Schizosaccharomyces pombe: one gene and its partner. The protein of the gene in region 2 interacts with the protein of the main gene of each other region in a pairwise test. Each region holds a gene or a part of one and is shown on either strand. Other genes may lie near its edges.

The links.
Region 1: the proteins of hhp1 (region 2) and ppc89 interact in a two-hybrid assay, tested with the Schizosaccharomyces pombe proteins (2 studies listed by BioGRID).

Annotation. Positions count from the first base shown.
Region 1 is NC_003424.3:3,847,219-3,852,695, forward strand, and holds ppc89 (protein Ppc89), read right to left. Parts: upstream 3,523-5,477; 5' UTR 3,267-3,522; coding exon 915-3,266; 3' UTR 740-914; downstream 1-739. UniProt on the Schizosaccharomyces pombe protein: Has a role in meiosis.
Region 2 is NC_003423.3:1,853,856-1,858,599, forward strand, and holds hhp1 (serine/threonine protein kinase (CK1 family) Hhp1), read right to left. Parts: upstream 3,056-4,744; 5' UTR 2,954-3,055; coding exon 2,063-2,953; intron 1,941-2,062; coding exon 1,734-1,940; 3' UTR 818-1,733; downstream 1-817. Other genes in the region: lvs1 (beige protein 1), read right to left, coding at 1-408; mug176 (BRCT domain protein), read right to left, coding at 3,908-4,744. UniProt on the Schizosaccharomyces pombe protein: Involved in DNA repair. Has a probable role in repairing alkylated DNA and may regulate the activity of protein(s) involved in double strand break repair caused by gamma rays.

The DNA of each region.
Region 1 (5,477 bases), on a different chromosome or scaffold from region 2:
TTTTAAGCAACATCTTGCCATTCTGGACGATTATGTAGCAACCGAGATAGGGAGTTGCCCGCCAATCATCGGCTTTTGCGAAACTTAGCAGCGCTTTCTTTAAGAGGTCAGTAAGGAACTACTGCAGAGTAGAGCGTAATTACCTTGCAAAACGGCGTACTGCAAAGTAGTATGTTATGCTAGATGAGAAAGAGACAGGGCTGGGAATATATGTCTGGCTAGTGGGTAGAAGCGCTAGGGGAGAGGACAGGGGGCAGAGGCAGAGGACAGAGGCACAAAAGGTAGAAAGGATGGGTAGAAAAAGGAAAGTGTCAGGAGCATAGTATGTTAGATCTGATATTTAAGGCAATCCACGATAACTCAAAACAATCCTATTCAGCCTTCTCGGTGGCTTTTGATTGATTGATCGACAGAGTAGCATGATCGACAGTAGCGTAATTTTTCGTAAACATTTCTTTTCATTTGTCTATTTGACTAGTTTAGTTAACTTTTCTACGAGTGTCATGAATTGAAATGCTAATAACTTTCTCTAACATTAAGCGAATAATCACTAGCAAGATATTCCATATGGAACACAAGTGTGTTACTTTCGTACATACGGTATTACCTTATAGATGTAGGTGTATTAGTTGAGTTGCAGTATTACTACTGTATAGACCACAGGATGTTTTGTTGTAATTACTTTTTATATATTACCCTCTCTTGGAACTTCTTCTTTACTTTTTCTATTTCATACATCTTTATGCGTGCTTTAATATATCATATTGTCACTAATTCATGTTTCAAAAAAAAAAAAAAATAATAATAATAATAATAATAATAATAATAATTATCGATGCAAGAAAATGAATTTTCTCTTTTCATTCTCCGTGTTATCTTCCCTCTCATCCACCGAGCCAGCCGGTATCTTCTCTTTAGCTAAAATCCTTACCAACGTTGACGTCGTAGAGCAAATATATCTGATCCGACTTGCTTTCCATACACTCAATCAACTTAATTAGCTTATTCTTAATCTCTTGACGTTTATGCTTGTGATAACCCGGTGTAAGGGAATTATAGCGGTCAGAAAGTTTCTCATAACGCTTTTTCAATTCCATCAACTCATTCGTTAATTGATTCACTACCGTCTTAAGAGCCTCGCTGGGCGGTTGACTGGGTCTTAACGTCTGATCAGCATACAAACAATTCGAATGCGAAACCTTCTGCTCCCCTCTTATCAAGTCTTCTTGACGAGCATGACACGCATTGCACTTGCCAACTCCATGAGCTGCACTTTCATTGATAATGTGTTCCACCTGCTTAAGAACATGTTTCGGTAATTCTTCTTCATTGGGCTCATCCGGTACTCCAGTCGTTCCAAACTCTGAACCGTTATGAAAAGTTCCTTGATTCCAATCAAAGCCTGCTTCATTAAGGTAGCTATCCTCGGCCAATTTGTTTCCTTTCATCGAAGAAGAGCTTCTTCGCCTCGGCAACGTTGCTTGTTTCTCCTTTTCAAAATCACCATCATCGGATAAGATATCAGAGTACTCTGAGTCAAGAGATATCTCTTCACTACCTTCATCAGACTCAACCCCCGACGCGACATTCGGCGAATCGAATACGACTTTGCCAGTAATACGCCTTTTTGATTTGGGTCTTCTCTTTCGATGCTTGACAGGACCAGCCTTGTTTGATTGCGATAGTTTCAGCTTAAGCTCCAGAGACTTCCTCATTTCAATTTCTTTGGCCAATTCTTTCACCAAGTCTTGGTATCCCGAAGTCGGTGAAGTGGAGTCTTGTTGAGGAGAGCAATTTTCTTTGGCAGTTTCCGTTCCATTGCTCATTTCTTTAGTGTTTGCGCCGGATTTGTTTTCAAATAATAAGTTGTTGAGCCCGTCTTTCCTTTCGTCTGCTTCATTCATGGACAAGGGTTTTGAACTGTTTTCCGCAGTCGACTTTATTTTGCTTGTTACATTAGATTCCTTCTTATCCAAATATGTCTGAAGTTTCTCTTTTAATACTCGATTCTCATTCAAAAGTTCATTATTCTCAGAGATCTTATTACCCAGACGCATAATATAACTCTCTCGGTCTAATAATACGTTCTTATAAACAGATTGAATATGTTCGTATTGCTCTTGTAGAGATTTCAAATGTTCAGACAAGCGTTCTTTTTCTCGCTTGACTGTGTCATAGCGAGAAGCAGCCATACCATCGTCAACGTTCGATTCACCAAGTTTTGTAAGCATCTCCTTTGACATTCGTTCCTCTAAACTCCTAGCACGTCTTTTCTCCCTGTTATAGGCGTCAGTAAGAAGTTCTAATTTGTCTTGGAGTTCGTCAATTTTTGCGTTGCATTCATTACGCTCTCGTTTCAAAATTTCAAATTTTTTCTCCAACAACTGGTGAGCATTGAAAAGTTGTTCATCTGTGGAAGCAACGGGAATAGTGTTTAGCTCGGGTAAACGATCGTGTTCTTTAGCATTACCGTTTTCATCTATTGTATCATCGCGAATTAAAGAAGACAAATTAGTCAGATTAGGCAAACGGTAGGATGTTTGGTTATTAAAATCGACACTTGGCTCACTGTGATTTAGGCCTAGTTGCTCCATGAGTCTAGCAGAGGCCTTGTAAGAAGAAGGAGTCTCCTTACCTGAATTAAGGTTTGGTGTAGTCTTTGAGCGAAAGCCGTTTCGTCGCCATGGGGTAGTGGGTTTGGGAGGCAGAGCCTCTGTAGGTGAATCAAATGCTAGATTTTGATTTTGACGATTTGCTAAAGGAGTATATTCTGCAGGCTTCTTAAGAAACGAAGGGGATGCATCTAATTTCAGGTTGCCATGATCATCCAAAACACCCTGCTTTTTAAAAGCACCTAGAAATCTATTGCGATAATCAGGAGTTTCGTTGAGTGCCTGTGGGCGAAGATCCGGTTCAGAAATTGGTGGAGACGATAAAGGAAATAAAGATCCATTCTTACGAAAGCGATTCCAACTAGTTTCTTCAAATGCATTCATATTTCGTCCTCTAGGCTTCTCTACACTTGGAAGCGTTTCTAAAGAAGCATTCATGGTAAAATCGTGAAAATGTTTACTAAGGCTTTTGGTATTCGGAGTATCTTGAAAAAAGGGTTCAAAATCCTCCCGCTTACCAGATCTTGGTTGAAAATTTAAATTGTCCTGAAAACTGTCACCATTTAGCTCACGATCAAGGGCCATACCAACTCGAGCCATGGTACCAACATCATCATCGGTTGCAACAAAGTTATCGTTAAATTGGCTAGGCATCCAACCTTACATATAAATATAAAGTGAATAAAAACTGACTTTTTTTTTTTTTTTTTAGAAAAAAATGCTATTAGGCTGACAATATTGCCTTAATATATACTATAATTCGTTTGTTGTCACAACAATGCTTTAATGGTGGAGGTTGGAAAAATGATAAATCGAGCCCACCACGACTTCCTTGCTAAAAACACGAAGAGGGGGATAAATAAACAATGCTAACCAGCAGCTAGTCCCAAATAATCAAGGTAGTATGAGCAAAGGTGAGCAACACTTGATAACCAAGCTAAATACTGTAGTGATGAAAGTGGTTGGAAAAATATCGCACTTTTTCTGCAGTACCTTAAAAAAACAAAAGGAAAAGAGAGAATTAGAATGATATTTGAAATTGCACACTCTTGGTCGAATGCAGTATAGTTAAGGAAATAGGCACAAGGTCGCTGGTCTTCAGGGTTAGGGTTATCGATACAATCCTAATATATAAAGGGACCTTTTGGGTGTGCGAAAAACTAATCCTTCCACATTCAAGTGAAGTATGATGATAGCTTGTGAGTAACCTGAAAAGCCATCCCGGATCATTCACAAGATGAACCGTTTGGAAGGATACTTGATTGCAATGCCTGCACACCTTGTTACGTTTATTGGCATCTATAATAATCTGATTTTCGTATGAATGTGGAGTATTAAAGTGTTTATAGTTTTGTATGCTTAATTTTAGTCCGTATAATTCTAGCTAGCACAAAAATAAAGCCAAAAAATATTTGAAAAGATCCGCGTCGACTTTAAACGATTAATTAGACAGAAAATATCAAAATCGTTGATTTTTATATTCATTAATTGTTCGTAAGTGTATACAATTTTGACAGTATTGATTCGTCGAGCATGAGTATCGTAGATGAATAATACAAAAGTTTGATTTTCAGTTCATTTGGTGTAAGGGTCTATGAACCTCGAAAGGGACGGTTAAGGAAGCTGTATTTACTATCTTTTACTCTCAAACATGGCATATATATTTTTTTATTGACACCAGGATGGGCGCGTTAAAAAAACAGTAATGAAGGAAGCAAAAAGGTAGAAAGAAATTTCAAGCAACGATTTTATACAAATCAAACTACTAAACACAAGGAGCATATAAAATTTAGATACACAATTAACACCACTGCAGGGAAAGCCGTTGATTACTATTTAAAAATGACCTATAAAAAAACTATGTAAACCTAGTAAATGGTTAGTAAAGATTAAGTTCCTGGCTTCTAAATATAAAGAAAATGATAAAAGAATAAAACAATCAGTAAACAAGATAGTTTTTCATCTATATGATTCAGGCAATGTAGATAAGAATTTTTTTCACATCACTTTGTTTTAAATAAATACCATAAAATATCATACCTATTACAACTTCCTGAAGTTAAGACAAAAGAAAATTTTTCTTTTAAAAGAAGAAAAGGCTTGATACTAGCAAAATATTGTAATTTGAGTAAAAGTTGCAGCAGTTCATTTTATGTGCTGAAGAGAGAAGAGATACAGTCGACATACACCTTAGTATATATAGAAAGCACTTAGCGAGAAATCGAATATACTCGTTGCAAAGCGCTATTTTGTAAACATAAAAAATGCACACTATTGTATTAAGGAACAAAATAATCTTTAGAAGGATTGGGTTAAAACAAGAGACTTGAAAATTATTATTTGTTACATTAAAATTTTTGTGGCTATAATTTCGATTGCTTACAATCATCGAGTGTTTTTCTATTCGTTGGTCTATTAAAACAATATTAAAGCAGCACTTTTCAACCTTTTACGATATTAAAAGATAATAATATTATTATTTATTTATTTGTATAAATTGCAAGTTAAGGGGTATTTAACTGGCAAATTAAATACTATAAATGAATTAGCTGAATAGGTTTTAATTTACGCTTTGCCTAAAATTGGAATTAATTATCCAAATGTTAAATGTCGATGTAAATTTGCATAAAACTTATTTAAAAACACAAAAACGTGCATATGTATTTTTAATTATGTATTATGCAACTAAATTGACATAGCACAACAGCTAACTTGAAGATAACAATCAGTTTTTTTATGCTTTACCTAATTTATACTTTTGATGAAGTGCATGCTAAGAAAGAGCCTTTTATTTAGAACAAATGGCATAAGCCAATAAAGGTTTAATTTGTAAGCTTTTTCCTGGTCTATTTCTATTCTACTATA
Region 2 (4,744 bases):
AGAAGTACCTATTGCATAAATGGAAATATTGGAATCATCCTGTATAGCACAGAATGAATAAAACATTCTTCGAATAGCGAGCTCAATCCATGCCTCAATATGTTTTCTGGATAGTAACCAAGAACGCAAGATAGTATAAGAAGTTGCAATTCCTAATATTTGCAAGCAGCATTCAAAAATATCAAGACTTAGTAACGATTGAAAGTTTAGCTTAGTGACAGCCTTCTTAATGGCTGCAAAGCCATTGTCAGTAATAAAGAGTTGTGGAAAAAAATTACTGGGAATATCATTTCGAATGAACCCCCTCAATTTTCGTAACTCTTCTAACAGAACTTTTTCTGAGGGACAACCCTCAAGCCTCGATAACAACTCAACGCTTTTAGAATAGGCATTCGCCTTTCTGTCCATAGCAGCTTACTTGAATAAAAGATAGAAGAAAGAACCTAACAAAAATATTCGTTCCTAGCCCCTGGTGCACAAGTTTCGTATTTATTTCGATAAACTCTGGTCAAGTGAGTGTATATTATGAATAGGTCATGTGAGTTGAAGCAGAGAGAAATGGTTTTAAAAAAGAAAACGATTAATATATATAATCGATGAAATTAATGAAAATTGATGCTTGCTTAAATTTATCGTTATTGAAACTGGCAATAATAGTTCGTAGTGGTTGGCGGTGAAGTATAGCGGTGATAATGATTTCTTGCCAAACGAAGTGAACTATGAAAACTTGCTGTAGAAGAGAACTACACCAAATAGATAGTAAGTAAAGACAATTTATTTCTATTTCATTTATGCTTGTTGATTTTGAAGTAGGTGTCATCATTCTAAATTCATCTTATTGATAATTCAAAAACTTACAAACAACACCTTTCTAGTTTTTTCAAGTATGTTTACAAACTAAAATGAAAAGCAAAATATTTATTATATTTAGCAAACAGAAGTGTGAACAACATCGAAAGACACTTCATGAAATGAACGCTTCAATAAAACAGTCAAGCACGAGATCATGCACCCAGAACACGAACTAAAACAAACCATTCATCCCTCGAGCATTAAGTCATTGAATTTAAACGCATCTTAAGCATCCTAAGGTTAAACGACGCTGATTAAATGAGTTCAGCTTGGAAAAGACGGTATCTATAAAGAAAAGCAGCAAATAGCTGATAATATATTATTAAAAGTATATGAATGCAATGCCTTCTAATTAGATTAAACCCCAAGGCTCATCACACATAAAAAAGTAACCAATTTGCTTATGGCGTCGTAAAAAAAAGGCTTTAAACCACGCATAATCTGTCACCAGGATTCGTGTTAAGCGAAGATAAAATTATGATCATTTCTGCAGAAAATTCTCTCACTTTTTTCTGTTCCTGGCTCGAAACATATATGATAATGTATGAATAGATTCACAGGTAGTAAAAACAAATACCAAATGTATTATTAGCAAATGTACTAATATTAAAAAATTTTTCACCAAAACTTGCCATAATGAGGATATGATCATGAGGTTAGCATAGAATTTAAGTCAACACAAGATCTTCAGCCAAATAAGCTATGAACCCTCAATAAACTATAAGCAAAGTAACTTTCGCCATCCCAAGGAAAAAGCCCTGCGCTATCAACAAAATTAAAGGACGTCTGGAGGATAAAAGGCAAGTATTGGAAGACTCCAGATGAGAAGAAAATATAAAAATAATGTGCCCATGCTATATAATAATAATATGAAAGGCTAATCAATTAGGTCTGTTGATATATTGAGCTCCGGTTGCAGATGGATCATTTATAACAGGAACGGTTGTATTAATGTCTCCGCCTTTTTCATCAAAGTTTTGTTTTTGATAATTTCTAAATGAAGACCTCTCTGGCGGCGGATTAATAGCTTGAGGAGTTGCAGACAGTTGTTGCTGTAATTGCTGCTGATGTTGTTGGTCTTGTTGAGTCTACAATTTAAATGTTAGTAAATGTGACTATGTAAACTTCATAAAATATCATATTACATTGGTTTTCAATAACTCGGAAACCCAGAAAATAAAAAAAGCACTATTACCAAGATATCTCATACCTTTCTCTTCAAGGTCCAATCAAACATATAGTCAAACTCATAAGATTGCCGACAAAAAAGATCTCGGAAAAGCTTGCGAAGGTAGGCGTAATCAGGTTTGTCATCGAAACGTAAAGATCTCGTGTAATTGAGATAAATTGAGAACTCCTGAGGGAATCCCCGACATAAGACCTCTGTAGGCGTAGAGATCTTCTTCTCCATAATCTTTTCATACTTTTGCTTTTTCGTGGTAGCCTTCAATCCCTGCCAAGGCAGGCTACCACGACAAAAGTAGACGAGCACATAACCTAAAGATTCGAGGTCATCACGGCGGGATTGTTCAATACCTAAATGAGTATTGATGCTAGCATAGCGTGCAGTACCTGTAAGATTCTTGTTCTCGCGATAAGGAATGTGCAGGTGAGTTTTGTGATCACGATACTTCTTAGCCAATCCGAAATCAATTATGTTAACTTGATTTCCTCTTTTACCTATTCCCATTAAAAAGTTATCAGGCTTAATATCACGATGAAGAAAAGATTTTGAATGAATGAATTCAATTCGAGAAATGAGCTGGTCCGCAAGGAGAAGAACTGTTTTCAAAGAAAACTTTCGATTGCAAAAATTAAACAAGTCTTCCAACGAAGGACCCAATAAATCCATCACCATAGCGTTGTAATCACATTCTACACCGAACCAACGAACAAACGGGATTCCGACCCCTCCTGACAAAATGCGATAAACTCTGTATTCATACTCCAATTGAGGGTGTTTAGCACGAGTTGATTCTAGCTTGATAGCGACCTCTTCACCAGAAACGACATTAGTCCCAAGATAAATGTCTCCGAAAGATCCACTGCCAATTTTACGACCAATGCGATACTTGTTCCCAATCCGGAGGTCCAAAGCCATAATAATATTATAACGCTTTTAAGGCTAAAGGCACTCGCTTTTTCTCTCCAATATACTATAGATTGAAATTGAATGATGTGGTTGAGGTAAAAGTAGGGGTTCGAAAAAGTAGAGCAAGTTAGGTAACGTAGAAGTAAAGAACTTAAAGTAAACATAACGAGAGTTAGCATTGCTTTATCAAAATAACGATAATAAATTATAATACAAAAAAAATTCGCTATGCGATTAAATTATAATAGATAGTGAATTTGCGAATATTGATAGTTTACGATGAATGTAAATAAAACATACCTACATACATTCGTACATCCAATATCTATTTTTAGAATGGGAGCGTGATGCTTTTCTTGGTTTCTATTTTATCAATTACCATTTACTGAAAAATGTAAAATGTAAGGTATGGTTTATTAACACTAAGAATAAAAGGCTAATAAAATGTGTCCTTTATAACAGACTCTTCCTTGTAATCTATATACAAAATCTAATAATATTTGAGCCCCAGTAAACGAATGATCTAAAAAGATAGAGAAAATTCGGGTTCTCAGACGAAAATAAAAGCTGTAAGATACACTGTCTTTCCAGTTGAAGCGAAAAAGACCTCCAACCGAATATTGGAGTGCGAAAAAATAAAATGAAAGAACATTTTAAAACAATAAGAAAACCTTTTTCGGAAATTTAATATTGTAGTTCTTTACATAAGAAAAGCGAAAAATGCAAGGCATTTTTCTGTTCTAAATAAGAGTTGACTAATTCTCCATTGAGATTATAAATAATTTGGGTCAGGATTGTGACGACTGAGCGAATAGAATAAAATAAAATAAAATAAACTGACAATGGGCAGGATAAAAGAAAGGGGAAAAACACGCAAAACACTGATCTAACAATATGTACAATGAGCAGTGCGGAATTAAACTTGTAAATGAAAGAGAGTAATGAAATAGAAAGACAAGGCACTTAGAAATCTATAAGACTAACCTTCTTTTTTAGTGGAGAGCCAATTAACGGTTTGTAAGCTAGATACTTCTTTTTGGCAGACTCTAAATGAGTCATCTCTAAATCCGTCGTAATTTTGAAAGACGAAAATAGATCAGCCGTTGGAGATAGCGATATTTGAGAAATGGTTTCTGGATTATTTTCTCGTTGAGCGTCATTGGACATAGATGACTCATTAGAATCACTGCAAGTAATGAGACCAAACTCATAATCATCGGACAAAGTTTGATCCAAGAATGAGTCGGCATTAAAACAATGAGAATCAGGAGACCCATTAACGAATGGTTCTAAATTTTCTGCTTGAGTATCGAAAAAGAAGGCATCAGAAGGGTCCTGAATCATTTGCGTGTCAGTGAAAGGATCAAGAGGATTCAGCAACTCCGAGTCATCAGTCTGTAAACATTTAGTTTGCAGTATATCTTGAGGATCAACTAAGTACATTTCCTCGTCGACTAAATACTTAGATGAGTAACAAGCCAAAACCCATTTAGGAGATACACAAACGATTGGGACTTGAGCAGAACTAATTTTCTTGAGAGTTTCTTGTGAGCAGTCGTAGAGTACTGCGTGAGAAACGGGATTTTCCTCGGTCATTTGTAAAGACGCATGAACAGTTGCGCCCAATAGACGCAATTGTTCAGTAACGATTTCCATTGAAAACATACCTTCTCCGATTTCAACGTAAGCATGGACAGAGCTCAAAGGGAATTTTTGTTCTGTTTCATTAATTTTTGAAATGGTAAGGCCTTGTAAAGATCGAGAAAGGTAAGCCATGGGAACCGTTGGGTTCCATAAATC